4 linked regions of the Drosophila melanogaster genome follow. The protein of the gene in region 1 interacts with the protein of each later gene in a pairwise test. Each region holds a gene or a part of one and is shown in the gene's direction. Other genes may lie near its edges. The genes, in order: Tsp42Eo, fax, CG15347 and Cln7.

Region 1 (4,409 bases):
GGCGAACCGCCGCGGAATAGTTGATTTCTGTCTAGTGGCGGAACCCACTAACTGGCGCTTTCGGGGGCGCCACATTTCAAATGGAAAGCGTTGCGCTCAGTCGCACGTCAACCTCTATGCCAATAGGGCTGGCGGATTTCATTGGGTCTTCGCTTCTCCGGTGGTCGACGCTTCGGGTCAAGTGCGCAGCGGAAAATTGGTGCGGGAACAAGGATAAACGCACCTTCGTGGTTAATTATAGGGATTATTGATTGGCAACATGGACTGCCGCACATCGTTCCTGAAAGCCGTTCTTATCGTTCTCAATGTGCTGCTATCGGTGCGTATGAGTGACGTTGGAGCCAATTGGGCACTAGCCAACGGACCTAATGTGACTTTATTGGCAGCTGATTGGAGTGACGTTGATTGCTCTGTCCGTGTACGAGCTGAACAGCTCCACGCCGGGCACCTTCGAGCACATCGCCATCGTTGTCCAGATCTTCGTGGGCACCTTCGTGGTCCTGACCTCGTTTCTGGGCTGCTTTGCCACCGCTCGGGTTTCCCTGGGACTGGTTTGGAGCGTAAGTGAAGCCTTCAATTGATACATCAACTAAATTCACATAATATTTATATGTCCTCCGGTAGTATGTGATCTGCCTGCTGATCCTGCTGTGCCTGCAGATTTATATTATCGCGGCAGCCCACTCCACGGACTACGTGGAGCGATCCAAGAAGGATTTCCTGGCCACCTGGGCTGATCAAAGGACCAATGTGGAGCGCATATCGCTCCTTGAGCAAAAGGTAAGTCCAATACTTGGGATTAGTATATTGCTATTTGCGGGTCATCACGACCAATTTCATTCCTTCCCAGTACTCCTGCTGCGGCCAGTTGGGCGCCCATGACTACATCCTGATGGGACGGGGTATACCCTTGAGCTGCTACAAGGATCAGGAGCGGCGCGAGTACAGCCTCTTCTCCGGGGGCTGCCTGCAGGCCGTGCAGGCGCATGCCACGGACAACGTGGCCATCGGACTCATCATCAAGTGGCTGCTGCTTCTGGTGGAGGTATGTAGATTCCATGCCGGCCTTGGCCACATATTTCCGAGGGCTTGGCTGGCCAAGGGCGGTGCATAAATAGATGCCACACTCAGACGCTGGGCTCTAATCGAATTTTCCGTTCTCTCCACACAGTTCGCCGCCCTGGGAGCCGCAACCCACTTGGGCATCACGGTGCGCAATAAATTGCGGCGCGAAAGATTCTAACAGGTCGCTTGGAATCATCGAAATCGGGTGTTGGCAACGCATAATCCGATATCTATGGATTTTTATAGCAGTTTAAGATGATCTGGAGGCAACAGAAGCGTAGAATAAAAAATAAACCAAAATCATAATATTCAATAAGTGTTGTTTGTGCCCACTATATGCGGAATTTCGGCGGGCCTGCTAAGTAGATGTATGTTGCCTATAAAGATGCGTATAAAAATATACGAAAACATTGGGTGCACTCAAAGAATATCTTCTACATATGAAAAGAATTCCGTTTTAAAAGAAAAATAACTATAATAGGCTCTAGGCATTCGATTTTTCGACTATGAGATACCCCTTCCACAGCTAATGGGAGTACGAGGAGATATGCTATACGACAGTAACATATATATACTGATAATTTCACCCGATCTGCTAGAAGATTCTTGACCTGTTGTTAAGTTAAGTTACCCATTTCTATTGAAATAAAAATATCTAGTACAATCACTGGGTAAATTTCGGTCAGTTATTTAAACTTATTTCAAAGTTATAAGGCATCTATACAATAAATCTTAAATTTTTATAGGCGTAATTATAATGTGTTTCTCTCAGTGTCGGGCGGATGGGGCGGGGTGCCATTGAGGTCTGGTGAACGCCGGTCTCCTGAGTAACGACCGGCACACGAAACGCCGAAACGGAGACCGAGACGGACACGGATGCGGACACGGACGGCCACTCGGCGGATTTGTAAACAGTTCGCAGCTTCTTAGCGCTTTTTCGGGTCTTGCTTTATTTTGGCCCCGACCGATGTCCGACGGCACTAACGGTTCGGTCACCGCCACGCACAGACGGTCGAGAGTGGAAAGCGAATTTTCCCGGGAAACGCGTCCGCTGCCTGGAGTCGCTGCTCGGATGAGCGCTGAATAAGATTGATCAAAAATAAAGAAACAGAAAAAACTGCATCGCAAGTAAAAAATGCCCACGGTTCGCGTGTGCCTACAATGGACCTCGGTTGTCTTCAGTACGCTGACGTTGGTAAGGAGGATATCTTGTGGGAAAACGCGTTAGTATTACGCATCATTAGCCGACATAAACTTTCCATGATCGCCACTGGGAAACGCAAGCCACAGGCCAAGCATTTATTCATTGTCACTGTTCCTTGATAATTTCAGTGCAACTGTTCTTGAGTCACACACTGCGTATGAGTAATAAAAGCACTTGCTGATGGAAATCACGATTCAAAATTAACTCGCCGCTGGCAGTCTGTCAAAGCACGATCATAAAGTGTCTTTCATTCTTGTCCATTTTTCATTGCCGCTTGTAATTTCTTACTGGACGGGCCGAGTAGCTGGCCAATTTGGCAGCAAACAAATCTCATTCAAAATTTCCATTTCCACCAGACAAGATGTCACTTGGCGGCTCTCGTTCTGCCCACTTTTGTTGGCCAGTCGCATTTTCGGCACAATCGAAGCGACAGCAACAAGAAAGGAAACTGTGTATGTGCCATTTAAAAATAAAGCCCAAAGTAATTTAATTTATTTTTGCGCCCGGTTTGTTTTTATTTTGGTTGTTCTCGCTACCCGATGACGTATCCCACGAGCCGAAAGTTTGTCTCTGAAGATTTTGTTTGCCCATTTCATGGGCCATTAACAAACGCTTAATGTGCGCAGGCATAATTCATAATTTTAATACCGATCCAGATCGTCGGCGTCCTTGCGGCCCTGGCCGGCGTCTATGAGCTGGATAAGTTCAACGAGGGCTCTGCGGAGCACACAGAGAAGTTCGTCCAACTGGGAATGGCAGGTGCTCTGATCTTGGCCGGACTGGTCGGTTGCCTGGGTGCCATATTCGGTTCCATCAAGGTGATGGTGGTGGTAAGTAGCCAGAACAGATGGTTTGTCGATTGATGAGCACTTCCAATGCCTCGGCTTTTAGAACTTGATTCTGCTTCTGGCTCTGATAGCCTCGCACATCTGGAAGGTGTCCCACTACAATGAGACCAAACAGCTGGACGCCACTGAGGTGTACGTGATGGATCTCTGGATGAAGGAGCTGGTCCATCACGGCGCCATGCAAGACTTGCAGCAGGAGGTGGGTCCTTCCCCAGAGCGATCATGCTACGATCCTTAAATGCCCTCTTTCCCCTTTTCCAGTACGAGTGCTGTGGCGACAAGGGATTCTCCGACTACACGAGCCTCAACATGAAGGTGCCTCGCAGCTGTTTCCACACCAAGGACGGCATTCACGCCTTGTATCCGTATGGGGAGGGCTGCATGGCTGCCGTGAAGCGGGCTTATCTGCAGATCTACCGATACGAGAAATGGGTCCACTGCGGACTTATTGGCTACGAGGTGGGCAAAGCTTTCAGACCTGCAAGACTTATTAGCAAAATGTAGCTATGATATATGTACATTTGAAAATGGAAAGCTATTAACCTCGAATTTGCAAGTCTCTAGTAGCACTTGTCGAACAAAATGATTGAGAACTGACAGGCATTAAATGTTTAATGCAACACTTTGTTTCTTTTATTACAGGTCGTAGGCATCATCTTGGGTATCACCTTGTGCTGCCAGCTGACCAACAAGACTCGTCGCTACACCTACTAACCACGAATGACATTTATAGATAAGCACTTGCCACTTGGATAAATAATAAACCAAAGTTTTCATAAGATCTTAATGGTAGCTCAGGCGTCGTTCAGTAGGTGCGCACGAGAGGCGGACACATGGTTGGAGCGCGGTTCCCGCCGCACACCTGGCGGCACCTGTCTTCGTGCGATGCGCTGCCGCTGTCGTAGTCGAAAGAGCAGCACACTCAGCGCCACAGTTTGCAGCAGTATGAAGATCTGCGGCGAGTGAAGAGATGGATGATTATTCGAGAAACTGCACTTCAGCCGCAAGTCAATTTCCCACCTCAAGGCCAACGATGGCCCACATGTAGAGCTTATCGCGGTGCTGGATGTACCGCTGGCTGCGGTTCAACGTCTCGAGGCAGCCGCTTGGATAGATCTGCTGGGCGGTGTCATTAACAGCGGCCTGATAACAACTCGCCGGCACCAGCAGATGCAGGCGCTTGTAATCGTCGGCACCATTGTAGCCGCAGCAGTGCTGGGAGGCCTCGTACTGGTGCATGAGCTCGGGGTCTCTGTCCAGGCCATGCCAAGCTAATTCCAGTTGCTGCCAGG
Region 2 (4,771 bases), on another chromosome or scaffold:
AGGCCATGCCAAAGCAAACCCTATATACTGCCATGTAACCAAGTGCATACTCGCAGTCGACTTGCAGAGATCCTCCCGAGACAGCGCTGAGTGCTCCCGAGCTATACGACGAGGTGGAGTTGATGCAGAAGGGCATCTTCTTCAGGGTGTCCTGCAGTCCAGGGGACAGCGCAATCGCCCCCAGTACGGTGCCCACCAGGAGGATGAAGGCGTACATGAAGCGCGATGAGGAGGCGTTGGTGCAGCTCGGGCAGGCGGAGCAGCACATGCTGGCTGCAGTGCCTCCACAGCACATGGCGCACTGGAAATGCAAGAATTAAGTATTAAATGGAGACGCAATTGAAGAATTATTCTATTTGATCCAACTTGCTAATAAGTTTTGTCAATAATCCGGATTAATTGAATGATCAACCATCGAAAGTTAAGTTTGCAATACATTTTTCATATTGTTTTCAACTTATTAAAAATTTAAAAATTCATTAAAGTATCTAATAGCTCAAATTGCAAGCTAAATCTTTCTTTTAGATGAAAATCATAGCAGCATTCATGAGTATTGTGAAATTAATAAAATGTTGAATTTCTCCGCATTTGAAACATATGTCTGCTTTTATTGATTTGTAGCCAATGTAAAGAATTTTACCTGGCTAATTAGCTCGCAATTTTCTTACCTGAGCGGCTGAACAGATGCCCAAAGCAGCTCCCATTGTTGCAGCAATAAACTTAGATTTTTACTTTAGTCAAACTGCGTTTTTATTAAATTAAACAAATCTTTGTTTGTGAAAATGATAGAGATGGACTATTTACTGCCTATAGTGACTATCGAATACAGCGGCTGGCGATATTTTTCAGCAATCGTAAGCAGTTGTAAATTTAAAAGTAAATGGGATCAATTCTTTCGCATATTTGCATTTTAAAAATGCTCTTTCAATGTCTTAAATTTTTCAATATGTTTCAAATTTTAAAATTTATAGTTTTAAAATTGAAGTAAATTACTGCAATTTTCTGTACTTCCACAGTTGCCATGCTGATTTCTGCAAAAGTCGGGAGGTGCCATCCGTTCCCTATTCAAATTTCAAAACTTCTGCCACTCCCTCCCAGATGGCGCTTTGCAGTTTCTCAAAACAAAATAGTTTGTCTCCTAAAATAAACTAACAAACGTTATAAATAAACATAAAACATTATTGAAAGCTGAATGAGAGAGAAAGTTCAGATCAATTTTTGTGAATTAAATCATAAACTAATATTATATTTTGAATTAACTTAACTATTGTAACAGTTATTGATAGAGTCGAAATAGGTAATACAGAAAAAGGTTCTATTGATAGTAGTTTTAAAAGGGTATCTGTTCAGTCAACCAGCTAATATTACCGCTCATAAATCTTTAAATGTGTACATAAATGGAGATGTTCTTAATTTTAATAAATCTAGTCGCGAAACTCGAAACTTTACCTAAGGATCGAGAAAACATTTGTTCATAAATTGAGCGTAAGCATAATGGAATATTATTTAAAAAGTTACTTAATATCATTCTTTACTTGTGTTATAAATTAGTTGCTTATAATTTAGGTTGACTCCACAATTTTAAAATTTTTACTCATATAAGTTTTTATAAAATCTATTCCTTGATCTTAATTTCCAGTCACTGGAAGTGGGTTATTTTTAGTGCATCTGCACTCGGCCGATTGCATTCGAGAATACGTTCGCACGCGGCATCTGGCCACACTGCCTGCAACGCTAGCTCGCCTTCGCAACGCGAATCCGCTCATTTCAAATTTTCAAACTCCCGAGAGCGGTTGCGGCGGTGTCGAGACAGCGGCTCCTGAATCCATCCGAATCCGAAAGCGAATCGCATCCAGCCAAGATATCCTATCGTGCAGCTGAAACCCGAAACCCGAATCCGAGTTCGAAACGAAACGAATCGCAGTGGTGGTTTCTCTCTCGCTCTCTAGCTCTCCCTCTCTCTCGCGTGTGTGTATGTGTGCGAGTGGCAGGAAAAGTGCGAAGCCGAAATCTTTTTAGCTGAAAGAAAGCGCAACTTCAATTAGCGAAAAGCAAGAGTAGCTAACAAAAAGAAAAGCGGATCGAAAAGTAAAGAAAAACAAAAAAAAAAAACAAAAGCAACAAATCGAAATGGCAAGCGAAGTGGCCCAAATACCCGCCGAGGAAACGCCCGCAGTGGCGGCGGCGGAAAAATCAGAGGAGCCGGAAAAGTCAGCGGCCCCGCCAGCGGACTCAGCGGCCGCTCCAGCTGCCGCCCCCGCAGTGGAGAAGGCTGAGGATGCCGATGGCGAGAAGAAGGACGGCGAGGCCGGAAAGCAGGACAAGCAGCAGGATGGCGAGGAGCCCAAAAAGGACGAGGCGGTGGCAGCACCCGTGGCGACCAAATCGGAAGCCCCGCCCGCCCAGAAATTCAATGTGCACAAGACCAACTTCGAGAAGGACATCATCTATCTGTACCAGTTCTCGCGCACCCCACTGCTGCCCTCCCTGTCGCCCTACTGCCTGAAGGTGGAGACCTGGCTGCGTCTTGTGGGCCTGAAATACGAGGTGAGTGGTGGTCATAAATCCGGGGAAAAAAACCATAGAAAATTCATGAAAACCTCATTATAAATCGAGCCATCATTTGGCATCCTTCAAAGTACCCAGGATAATTAGGGAAAACCCAAAAACGGACTAGGTAGAATCCCAGGAAGAGCCGAAAACTCTCAGATATTCCAGAAATCCCAGATTTTCAAGGCATTTTTGCGGTACAGATTTTTTCCCAGCTCCTGCGGGAGAGAGCGAGAGAGCTCGGGGAAGAGAGCCAGCGCCGCCATCATGGTGTGCTGCTAAGCCTGCCCGTGTGCATGTGTGTGTGTGACCTGCCCTGCCCCGTAACTGAAAAGGGATACATTTGTGCCGCCTTCCCTCTCTCTCCCAGCGCCCATGCCTGTGTGTGTGAACCTGTAGCCTGGTCCTTTGCGCGTGTGTGTGTGCACAGCGTATACATAAAATTTGTGTGTGCGCCGACGCCGCCCCTCACCCCTTCATCTCTTTGTGCTCCCCTTTGCAAAAGTCGTGCTTCAAATTTTGCACTTGCCGACTCTCTCCTTTTGTCTCGCTCCCTCTCTCGCCGTCTGCTCTTTGTCTTTTGTTGCTGCACTGTTTTTTTTTTATTTCACTTTTCTTTCGACTTCTTTTTGCACTGCACGAAAAGTTGTCATCTCTATGCGCTGCATGCATCTTTTCTTAGCATCTTCGAGATCCATGCAACTGTGCTCTCACTCCATCCACACAACAGCAAATTTTCTCTCTGTATACTTTAGCAGGAGCAGCAGCAGCAGCTTGTAATTGCTTTTAATAAAAATTGATGCAGTTTAAGCTGGACTCAGAAATAGCTGTCTCCCTCTTCGCCTTCCAACTCCCCTTCTCCTTTTCCCTTTCTTTTCTTATCCGTTAAGTAGCTGTAATAGTGTTGGGGGCTGGGTGGGGGGAGTGGCAGACAAACAACTGTCAACGACTTCCAATGGTGCCTTCCATTTTGGCTTGTTGTTTTTTCCTTCACTTTTTAAAGCGCGCGATGCGGTTTGCATATTTTTCATATTTTTTCTGTGCGAGAGGAAAAGCGTGTAGTATGTGGTAGTGGCCGGGGGAGAAATGGGTGCGGTCACCCGCACAAAAACTGGCGACGCAATTGCTGTTTAATCTTATTAATTACATTGGTTAATGAAAAACGAGCCCCTTGCGCGGAATGTTAATTGATGCCGTCGCCTTCCAGATGCCGATAAGCAATCGCCCCCATATGTTGCATTCCACGAAGCAATTATGATTGACAGTCCGTCAGTGGCCGCTTTTCGGCCCGCAGCTGGAAATTACTTTCCATTTTCACGATTATTCCCAATTCCACTGATAAGGCGCAGGCTGCCCAAAATACGGCGGCATTCGATTAGTAGGAAGGAGGGAGTGGGGGGTGGGTAAAAAAAAGAGTTCAACAAACTGGGGACCTTTGACATTTCTGGCATGGTTTGTTGTTGCTGCAGCGCGGCATTAATCATGGAAAAAAAGGGAGGGTGACTGACTGTAAATGCAACTGACTAAGCCAGTTTTCCCCCCTGCTGCTTGCGCTCGGCTGCATTTCTTGCCTGCTCTCCTCCTTTGTGTACACACATTCGTCAGTGTAAACAAGAGCAGAAGTTGTTTCTTTATTGATGATAAACCGAATGCATATTTTTTTCACACCACATTGAAGGCGGCGCCCATTAATAAGCACAGCAGCAACAACAACAACAACTGGGCATAAGTTTCGCTTTTGAGGCGGTGGCCCGCATTGCTAGCATTCCTGAGTGTCGCGCTCGTAGATTGTGCAATTAATTTACATTTTCTCTGCCATATGCATTGCGGGCACAGAGCGATTAAAATTCAAATGGAAATGCTGGCGCGCCATTGCATTTGTGCAATATTGCCGGGCTGCAATTTCAAGGTATTCTGGCAACGCTGCTGCCTCTCCTGCTGCAACTGTACATGTGCGAATGTGTGCGTATCGTATGTCCATGTGTGCGTGTGTGTGTATGTTGGGAGGAAATGGAGTTTTTTTGCTTCTCGTTTTTGTATTTTTTACGTTTTATAGCTGCCTTTGTTTTAATTAATAAACCGCATATTTGCATTTAAACAACACACAGTGGACGGCCTTTGTTGTTGCTCACTCGCTCCAGTGCAATTCTCCCGCTCTCGCTCTCTCTCTCTGGAACTTCTGTGCAAGGGTGTGGATACACTCACACTCGCACACGCAGGC
Region 3 (4,543 bases), on another chromosome or scaffold:
GCTCTGCTTCCGTTCGGCCAACTGGACGCGCTCCTCCTCTGTGTACTCCACGCCATCGGGCACGTACATAATGGAATTCATGTTGGTGTAGTTCCAGGTTTCGATCTTTCTCAGCGGATCTGGCTCCTCGAATTGCGTTTCTATGCTGGGCAGCATTAGGGCCCGCTGCAGTTGCTCTGCGGAGAGCTTCTCATGGTTGTACAGTACTGCGTATTTTTGGCGCAGCTTGGCCTCGGCCGTTTCGATGATCTCCTGAAAGCTCTGGTTATCCTCGCTGGTGTACTTCTGCAGAAAGGCGTCCAGCGATAGCTTCGCGGTGGTGTCCCTGCCCTCGGCATCGCTCTTCTCGGAGCCGTCCGTGGAAAATGGTGTGTCTGTGGCCCGGGAATTTGGCAATGGGGTGTTGCTACATTTCGCCTGACTCACTGGTGTCTCAAATGTGGCCGGGGACATGGCTGAAATGAAGGAATTCAAAAAGTTAATGGGTCTATCTATTGAACTTGGCCAATGTATAATTTCATCAGACTTGATTTCAAGTAAGATAGTAGCAGACAGCGATGTGCCAGTGGTGTTCATCCAATTGAGTACAATACCCACCATTATTCCGTCGGCTGGTGCTTCTTCCTGTCCCGGAAATCCTGCCCAGACTGTAGCGCTCCCGAATCTCGGCCATTTGTACAAAGTCGCGCCGTGACTCCGCGTCCAGGTAGTCGTTTTGGGCACGCAGCCGCTCCAGATCGGGAAAGAAGTCGCGCTGGATGATCTTAGACATCTCCTCGATGTACTTCTCCTCGGTAAGGATCTTTGGCTTGTTCTTGTGGCGCACCATCGCCGTGGGCTTTTTAAACTCGGCGAGTGCTGAATTCTGGACGCGGGCCACTTCCATGGCCAGGCTGCCGGGAGTGCCAGGTGTCCCCGGTGTGGCAGGTGTTCTAGTCGTGGCGCTCATTGCCGTTTATATCTCGCTTTTTTCGTAAATAACTTTGTTTTGTTTAGATATAAAAAGTGAATATTTTTGTCTGCCAGCAAAGTGTGACCGTTTTAAGTTTCACTCAGAATAACAAAACGTCGGTTCAAAATATTTCCCTGTATTTTTTTTTAATTCTCGGATGTAAAAGGTGAAATTAATCAGCTTAAAAGTTTCGACTTCCTTTACAATAAATTGGTGAGTATGAACCAATTTAAATTTAAATAGAAACAAAATGATATTTTGCTAAACTATATTAATTAAAAACTCTGGCAAGGAGTACTTATCGACGTGTTATCGATAAGTGTGGAACGCATTCAAATGCGCGCTAGCATTTGAATTGAAATTTTAATGCGATTAGCTAGCACTTGAAAATGAAATTTATTACGATTTTGCAAACATTAAAGATATATTTTTAAAACATCTGGAAGTTTCGCAAGTGCGCTGACTAACCCGCTGAACATAATTTATGAAAATGAATGTATGCCAAAGAGCGACAACTTTAGCGTCGTGAATCATTTCAAAACACTTTTTTTTCTCAACTCACCAATAGAATTACTGTTGTCGTGGTGCCTTATCGTAAAGCTGTAGGTATATATGAATAGGGTATAAAGCTCGGCAAAACTCAAATCACTCATTGAACCTTTTCTACTCCCTTAGTTCTGGTTCAGCTCCGTAACCAGTCGCAACATTCGATCGTCGTGAAATTAGTTACATCAGTTATCAGCCATGAAGTTTTACCTGTTGGTGATTGCAGCCCTCTCGTTTTTGGCCTACATCAGTTGTGGTAAATGTTGTACCTGCCTAAATGTTGTTCCAAAATAAGTTTCACTTTTAATTTTCATCGGGATCGTATTTTTTTTTTTTTAATTTTCTTTTTGCTCTTTGAATTGAAAAACTTATTGAGTGTTTTATATAAGGTGTGATAAGCGGTGATATCATGGACACGGAAATAAATTCATGATAAGCTATCAATAGGCGAGTTTCCAAAGAAACTTTTAAAGGTTCTTAGCTTTGTAACTGGGCAAACATATTCTTTTTTTTCTAAGTGTGAGTGAGCCAGCAAAAAGATGTGAAAATTGTACGCCATATATTTAAACCATGTGTACATACAGCTGTGTTCAAAAAAATAGCAGTGCAAGAGAAACTAAGAAATGCGACGGTTTTTTTTTCATGTTTCGGGATCGAATTTTTATTCCACTTATTTTTGTGAATTGGAATGTGTAGATAGGGAAAAAAAGAAAATGTCGTTAGTTTTCTATGCTATCCTTTTTTTTATTTACATTCTTGAGCAAAATCACAACTTTTAGGCTGTTCAACAGAATAGCAGTGTCTGGTTTTGACCAACGTAAACTCCCGAAATGATCAATATTTTCTAAAAAGTGAGTTTGAATTTGAATTTGAATTTGTATATTTAAAAGGGCAATAAATTAAAAAAATAAAAAATAAAGAAACGCAGAAGCAAATCGGCTAAGAATAAGTTCGTTCTAAGTCAAGTTGAATTTTGTTACTATTTTTTCATAGCACTGCTATTTCTGCTTGTTTTAATCTATATTTTCGAAACTATTAAAAAAATGAATGTGAAACATTTGTTGAATTGTTTAAAATTAAATACCTAATGATATTATAAAAAAAATTTTCCCATTAAAACTTGAAATCTTAAGATTTTTTTATTTTAAACTCAAGCACTGCTATTTTTATGAACACAGCTGTATGTCAGCGGTAATTTAATTTCTCTTTGTGATGAAGTACATAGTTATTCCGTTTCATTATTAAAGTTGAAACATAATCTCGTACATTCGTACTTTCATGTAAACACTTGGTAAATATTTAATATTTACTGCCACCTGATATGCTAAATATAATTTGCTTGCAAGCTTTCGATTTATAGCCAATGTAAATTGACTCTTCTTATCAAAAACATACAAGTTTGCTGATTCACTTGTCATGGGCATGTTCGTAAGAATCGATTGTGGAAAATCGAGACAATTGCCATCCGAGTACAGTGCGCGTCATTGTAATAAGGCATGCAGGTAGATACATAAAAAGAAATAATCAAACACATTCAAACACATATGCACTGTGGTAGGTAGGCAGACTTTGCACGAAATCAATATGATGTCATTATGCCAACGCAACGATTACGAAAAACTTGATCTAATCTAATCAGGCATGACTCAATCGAAACGCTCCGTTCCACTCGCTCAATTTGCAGATGGATGCATCCAGTGCAATTCGAAGGACAACGAACGCTGCGCCACAGATCCATTGAGCCTGCTCAATCGCAACTGTTCCGATGGATCCTCCAACTGCTATTCCCGCGTCCTGGGTATGTTATCGCATTGATTACCCTGGCTGCACCATCTAATGGTATCTTTCGCAGATGGCTACACAATTCGCGGCTGTGCCGTCGATCTGGACAACGCCACGCGTAATTCGTGCAACAACGAGCTACTGTGCCAGCTGTGCACCTACAGCGAGGGATGCAATCGAAACACCTTCCCGTTGAGCCGCCTCATGTGCCTACAGTGCACAGGGAACTCGACCTCGTCGTCCTGCGCCACAGAGACCTATGTATCGGCCAAGATCTGCCCGCTGTACAAGTTCGGCGACAAGTGCTACATTCGCAATAGCAATCGCACCGTGGACGGATCCTTCCAGCGCGGCTGTCTCACCTCGGCGAATGCCAGGAAGCAGTGCGTCAAGGATGGCAACTGTTATACGTGCGAGGGACGCGGCTGCAACTTTCTGCTGGCCAATGATACCAACATTCCGCTGGCACGCGACAGCGGTGCCCAGTTGATCATCTCCATGACGCTGCTGATCAGCGGTCTTGTCGCCGCCTGGAGACTCTAAGATGTAACGACGGCCAGAGTCGAATGATGGACGAAAGTCAATCATGCCACAGACCCAGTTCTTTTAGAAATTCCCGTCTTATTATTTTCTACATTCTAAAACATCATTATACATACATACATACACTGGGATGTTACATTTATACTCGTTTATTTCATTACTTTGAACAAAACGTTAATAAAGATAACTAAACTAAAGAAGACAAAAATAGAAATGGTTTAGTTATTACATTTTGGGATTGGGGGATAACCAAAACGTTGCTCACTTTGAACAGTTCTTCATCGTAATGTTTTTTGAAGCAAAAGTAAGCATAAAACTTTAATGCATAAACACAGTGAACACACATTTCACTTTTTACGAGGTGTCAACGGGTTGGCACTGCAGTTGACAACATGCCACTGTGTTTATGAAGTCCCGATTTCAATTGCGATACCCTATACCTCTATTCCTCGATTCCGATCCCAGACCAAGAGAAATCGACGACGAGCCGCAAGTACCGGAGTGGCAGTTGGAAAACCGGAAGCTCTCGGCGCAAATGAGGAGTGCATAAATGTGTCGACGCCTCCGAATGTTTGTCAATTACTTTTCACGGCTCGCTTTTCCGGATGCCATTTTCCATTCGATCGAACTGGATGTGCGGAAATAGATCAGTTTTGTGCATGGTACTCGGCTCCAGCGATTTGTTAACTAAACTAACTATTTATAGGCAACATACGTACG
Region 4 (5,390 bases), on another chromosome or scaffold:
TACTGAGTGCATTCGCACCATGCAGATGAATGCCAAGACGTTGAATCTACCATTCGAAATCGTCATCCAGGGACCGAGCAGCAATCGCTTTGTGCGCAACGCACAGCAGTTCGAGCAGAAGCGAGATCTGGTGGCCAGGAGCGCCAGCACTTCAATGCAGTCGCCTCGAAATCGTCGCTCAAACATAACCATCTACAAGCCCTCCACAAAGTTGGTCATTCAACGTACGGCCAATGGCTTAGAAACGCCATCCAAGGCTTCGGAGCAGATAAGGCACAAGAGGTCCGTCGATCACCTGGAGTGGTTCAATGACTTTGCCAGTTCCTTGGTGCGTCCCTCGCCACTGGGCACTAGAGCCCAGAAGCAGCAGCGTGCATCAGCCAAGCCATCGGCATTCAAGCGTCAGGCTGAGCTGGAGGAGCCGGCTCGTCGGGAACCATGGTTCCTGGAGCAGTCAGCTTCGCGACTGACTCGCCCCGCTCCACTTAAGAAGGATGCACTCTCGCGGAAGAACAAGAAGAGTCCTTTGTTCCGAAAGAGCGCCAAGAGCAAGGCGTCCAAGGAGCAGTCGCGCAAGCAACCGGAGCGAGAGATTCGGCCACTCCGCGATGCCTTGCAGGTGGTGGAGCGGATACCCAAGGTGCTTCAAGATACGGTCAGTCATCTGTCCTCCGATCCACGCACTGGGGATGTCTTTAGCCTGAATATTAGAAACGAGGATGTGCCGCAGAAAAAGGATCGCCAGCCTGAGGATCGTGTGCCACGCAGGCCTAGCGCCACCTTCCGTGGTTTCCGGCGCAATGAGATCATCCCCGAAGCCGTCACCCTGGCTGCCCCAATGGACCTTGCCCCACGAGCTCCACTTCCCGGCCAGCGTCCAGGTGGACTCCTGCTGCCCTGGCTGAGGCAGCGGCGACTGATGCGTTTGCAGCAGGCACAGGGAAATCTGTAGACCCAACATACCCAATTTACTTTCACTTTTATTATTATAATCATTTGTTGTATATTTATAAGGCATTTTGGTCTCTCAAAAATAAATATAAATTTGCACATTATAGTGTTCTGCAGTAGCAGCGAAGATAGAAGCGTTCGAAATTAAAGTATCTGAAGTAGTAAGATCTTTATGTACCTGTAACAATATGAAGGCGTTCTTAAAGATCGTTTTCCAATGAGTCATTATAGTATTCACACACGCAGGTAGAAGTTTGGTAGGTTAGACAGGTTTCTATAGAACTCCATTCTTCAGTTTCCCTATTATTTCAATTGGATCTCGAATCGAATCTCAAAGATACATCTATTCTACTGATGATCTAGTATAATAATGATAATTTGAAGAAGGAGTATTGGTGTTACATGGATTGTGGATTGATAACAAGTTACTATACTATGCTTAGGAATATTTTGCCTGAATAGAAAACCCTTGCGATCTATCTTACAGATGCCATAGATTTCGGAGTATCTAAGTAGCATACTTTCGGGCGCGGGTGCTATCTGCCGTTGGCTCCTCTCTCTCTTCGGGCAGCTCCATCACGCTCTGTGGCGACGCGTCGTCCGATTTGTTGGCAACAGGCGCTGCCGCGTCAGTTCAGTTCAGTCCGTCGCGTTCGTTCATCTCCAGTGGTCGTCGCTGTTCCGCTGCAACAGGTAGTTAAAAAGACATAGCCCGATTGGTAAAAGGTGCATTACCCGCTGGAAGCCCCACAAATAGGATGCGCGCGGTAGGGGGGTGCCCTTGAGTTCTAGATGCACAGAAAGATACATGCACGCAGATACAGATACAGATACAGATATAGCCATTGGCAGAGGGAGAAAAGCGCTTTCTTTGCGTTTGGTTAAATATTACAAAAATCGAGTGAGAGGAAGCGGGAGAGCGAGAGTGAGACAAAGAAAGAGTAATTTAAAAAAAAACAAAGAGTGCATGTTTCCATTTAATTTACATAGTTTTGCTTCAGTGTGTGACGAAAAACAAAATACAACTTAGTAAGCTAAGTAATTTGAAAATCAAAGCAAGGAGTGCAAAGGCAAAGTAGCTTAACGAAAAAAACAATAGGCAGCCAAAGATCAACGGTCGCTATCTCATATCTAGTATCTTGTATCTGAAAGATGTGTGTGTGTGTGTTTGGGTACTTCGAGAACGAGAATCTGGCGCTCAACTAAAAAAAAAAAGAAAAAAAAAAAACCAACTGCATCAATTGGCAATTGGTATAATCAATTAGAAATTGATTTGCGACGGAGTGATCTTCAACCAGTGATGATTTGATTGATGTAGGAAGTGGACAAGTCTGATTGATATGGCTAATCGCTGCACTTGTTGCACTATCGAAAACTAAAGTTATAACAAAATGTTTTTATTTCGTACCCTGTACTGGGGCGAATCAATTTCTTTTGCTCTGATAAATGAAATCATGTAATAAACTGACGTTCTGTACGAACCTTATCATGCCATATAAACAAAAACAATGGCATACTCACAGTGATAGTGGCTCTTACTAAAGAAAAACGACATACAGACACCCGCACATGGCAACGAATAACTACAAACAGCTTTATTTCGGCACCGATTGCCTTTATCTTCCGCAATTTGTGTGATAAGTTCAGCAAACTGTTTTCCATATCTGTGGTTTTTTCGGAGGAGGATAATCACGCGACGTCTGGCAGATAATCCACTCCATCCATATTCAAGTAATTGAAGGCACCGCCGATTAGAGACATACTCTACTCTGAATCATTAATAGTTACAAGACTTTAAAAGCGTGTCTAACAACTGACACATCGATTCACAAAAAGCTCCATAAAGAAAAAAAAAACTCATTCGAATCCATTTACAGAATGACTCAGTGGCGGTGAAATCCAGCAAACACACATCCATCGCAGCCAACCAACCCATCAAACATCACAGCCAAGCAAACCAATTATGGAGTTTGCCCGCCGAGTTTCCGCTCGCTTTGAAACCAAAAGACTGCCGGAGGATGTGGACGATGGCCTGGAGACGCTGGAGGAGTACAAGCAGCGCTGGCGCTCCGTCCGCATCATCTACTTTACGATGTTTCTGATGGCGCTTGGCTTCAGCATCATACTCACAGGCATTTGGCCCTACCTCAACAAGGTGCGTACCCATTTTGGTCACGCTATCCAGCTGCTTTTCAATCTCATCTCTCTTCAGCTAGATCCCGATGCGGGCAAGGAGTTTATGGGACTGATTGTGGCCGCCAATCCGCTGGGACAAATGATCTTCAGTCCGATCTTTGGGTGGTGGGGCAACAAGCTGGGCAAGATTCGTCTGCCACTGCTGCTATCGCTGTCTCTATTCACGCTGGCCAGTGGCATATACTCCTCGCTGGAACTGCGTCCGGACAATGTGAAGTACTGGATGCTCTCCTCGCGGTTCCTCATCGGTGTCAGCTCGGCGAATATTGCCCTGTGCCGCTCCTATTTGTCCGCTGCGACACGAATCAGCGAACGCACACATGCCGTTGCAATGGTTTCGCTGGCACAGGTCCTTGGATTCATCATTGGTCCAACTCTGCAGGCGGCAGTCACACCGCTGGGAGATCAGGGACACGTCTGGCTGTGGGGCAAGATGCACTTCAACATGTACACGGCATCCGGATGGATCAATGTGCTGATGAGCATTGGAAACTTCATGATGTTCCTGCCCGGAGTGTTTGAGGTGAGTGGCCAGGTTACTTGGTTCGCTCTAAAGTGTCATTAAATTTGAACACTCCTTCAGGAGCACAAAATTGCAGCTCGCGAGGTGATGGTGATGCAGGGCGGCACATCCGAGAAGGAGACTTGGAAAGGCATCAAGCCCAGCTATTTATCCGCATGGACTTTGATCGTCGCCTTCTTTGTTCTGGTATTCAACTTTGTGCTGTTGGAGACGTGAGTAATCCTCAGAGTGGGTTTTTTTTTTTTTAAACTATTGCTTCCTCGCCTTGCAGTCTGGGCACATCCCTGACAATGGATATGTTCGCTTGGTCCAACGACGAGGCCCTATGGTACATGGGCATCATGATGACCACCGCAGCTATTGTCTCCCTGGTCACGTTCGTTTTGATTGAGCCCATGTGCAAGATTATAGCCGAGCGTTATGTGCTCATCTGGGGCGGATTCTCGCTGATGTTTCTCGGTCGCGTGCTCTTCGTGCCTTGGGGTCCGGATCCGCCAAAGTTGGCGCAGCCATTCAATGCCAGCTGGAACCTAAGCGAAAGCGATCCCATCTTCTTGGGCTGCCCCACAACGCAGAAATGGTGCGGCGAACTGCCGGCCTTGACCTTAACGCAGTTCATCATTGGATTTGCCTTCACATCGATAGGATATCCCATTGGGGTGACTCTCATCCAGACCATATTCTCCAAAGTTCTGGGACCTCGGCCGCAGGGCGTCTGGATGGGCTGGATGACCGGTTCGGGTTGTCTGTCCCGCGTCCTTGGTCCAGTCTTCGTGGGATCCATCTACACGCGCCTAGGTACGTTCTGGACCTTCGGCGTTACTTCGGCCATGATGCTGGTCTCCATGTTTTGGCTACAGTGCAGCAAGTAAGCTGAAATACTATTCGTTTTTAAGGCGGTTCCCCACAATAAATAACATGTTATCTTTTCAGTCGATTACTAATCCCGCCAACATTCGAAAAGACCACACCTGTCGAGCTGAAAGAACTGAACAAGCACAATGGTAGCAAGCTGCTGGACGACCACTCACCGGACACGCACAATGGTAGCCCACCGGAAGATCTGTCTCCTGATCAGCCCATTTTGGGCAAGCACGGCAGCCAGCACTCGATTTCACATGCGTAACGACGGCTGGCTATGGAGCATCCGTAGATCTAAGACACATCGTTGCAATACTGCCCCTTAAACTAGCTTTAAAATACAGTGTTTATTTTTGCACAGTTTCGACTGATTATGCGTTTATTGGTACTACGGTTGAATGTGTAGAGGTTGCACGTCGTTGTCTAGTTCTTTTTTTTTTTTGGCGTGTTTTGCATATAGGGAGGATGCTTAAACACGTATTTCCATCTTCTTGTTTAAGTGTACGAGTAATGGTTAGTTTGGGTTTAGTAACATGTATGTGGTTTACCAAGGCGGCAGCCACAGTTGTGAAATTGTCGTCGGCATCAGCATGTGCTGCTGGTGTGCTTGGTGGTGATGGTAGTAGGCCGCCGCTGGCGACCAGCAGAGCAGCCAGCAGTCCACAGGCGCCGTTCTTCGATTGCTGGTCGTGTGGTAGAATGTGTGACCCATTGGCAGGGGCATGGGTAGTGCAACCGCTACTCAGCTGCTGCCGTGATAGTAAAACTCATCTCAGTAGGGCGCATATCTGCGACCCGGCGGCGATGGACCGCGCATTCCGCGCGACGAAATCATGCGTTCGTCGAATGCATCGCGACT

The links.
Region 2: the proteins of Tsp42Eo (region 1) and fax interact in a two-hybrid assay, tested with the Drosophila melanogaster proteins (one large-scale study listed by BioGRID).
Region 3: the proteins of Tsp42Eo (region 1) and CG15347 interact in a two-hybrid assay, tested with the Drosophila melanogaster proteins (one large-scale study listed by BioGRID).
Region 4: the proteins of Tsp42Eo (region 1) and Cln7 interact in a two-hybrid assay, tested with the Drosophila melanogaster proteins (one large-scale study listed by BioGRID).

The regions. Positions count from the first base shown.
Region 1 is NT_033778.4:7,052,677-7,057,085, forward strand, and holds Tsp42Eo (tetraspanin 42Eo), read left to right. Parts: upstream 1-2,040; 5' UTR 2,041-2,200; coding exon 2,201-2,260; exon of another isoform or gene 2,261-2,925; coding exon 2,926-3,099; exon of another isoform or gene 3,100-3,160; coding exon 3,161-3,316; exon of another isoform or gene 3,317-3,378; coding exon 3,379-3,576; exon of another isoform or gene 3,577-3,603; intron 3,604-3,660; exon of another isoform or gene 3,661-3,759; coding exon 3,760-3,831; 3' UTR 3,832-3,900; downstream 3,901-4,409. Other genes in the region: Tsp42En (tetraspanin 42En), read left to right, coding at 260-319, 387-560, 625-780, 851-1,045, 1,172-1,243; Tsp42Ep (tetraspanin 42Ep), read right to left, coding at 3,912-4,070, 4,138-4,409.
Region 2 is NT_037436.4:16,408,778-16,413,548, reverse strand, and holds the start of fax (failed axon connections), read left to right. Parts: upstream 1-1,720; 5' UTR 1,721-2,130; coding exon 2,131-2,547; intron 2,548-4,771. Other genes in the region: Serinc (serine incorporator), read right to left, coding at 1-301, 669-704. UniProt on the Drosophila melanogaster protein: Together with Abl, involved in embryonic axonal development.
Region 3 is NC_004354.4:8,457,977-8,462,519, reverse strand, and holds CG15347 (uncharacterized protein), read left to right. Parts: upstream 1-1,621; 5' UTR 1,622-1,696; coding exon 1,697-1,754; intron 1,755-3,137; coding exon 3,138-3,296; intron 3,297-3,350; coding exon 3,351-3,823; 3' UTR 3,824-4,026; downstream 4,027-4,543. Other genes in the region: Es2, read right to left, coding at 1-455, 598-949.
Region 4 is NT_037436.4:7,341,384-7,346,773, reverse strand, and holds Cln7 (Cln7), read left to right. Parts: upstream 1-1,590; 5' UTR 1,591-1,644; intron 1,645-2,389; exon of another isoform or gene 2,390-2,682; intron 2,683-2,828; 5' UTR 2,829-2,914; coding exon 2,915-3,106; intron 3,107-3,163; coding exon 3,164-3,670; intron 3,671-3,730; coding exon 3,731-3,882; intron 3,883-3,941; coding exon 3,942-4,538; intron 4,539-4,603; coding exon 4,604-4,796; 3' UTR 4,797-4,890; downstream 4,891-5,390. Other genes in the region: CG14834 (uncharacterized protein), read left to right, coding at 1-952; lark, read right to left, coding at 5,304-5,390.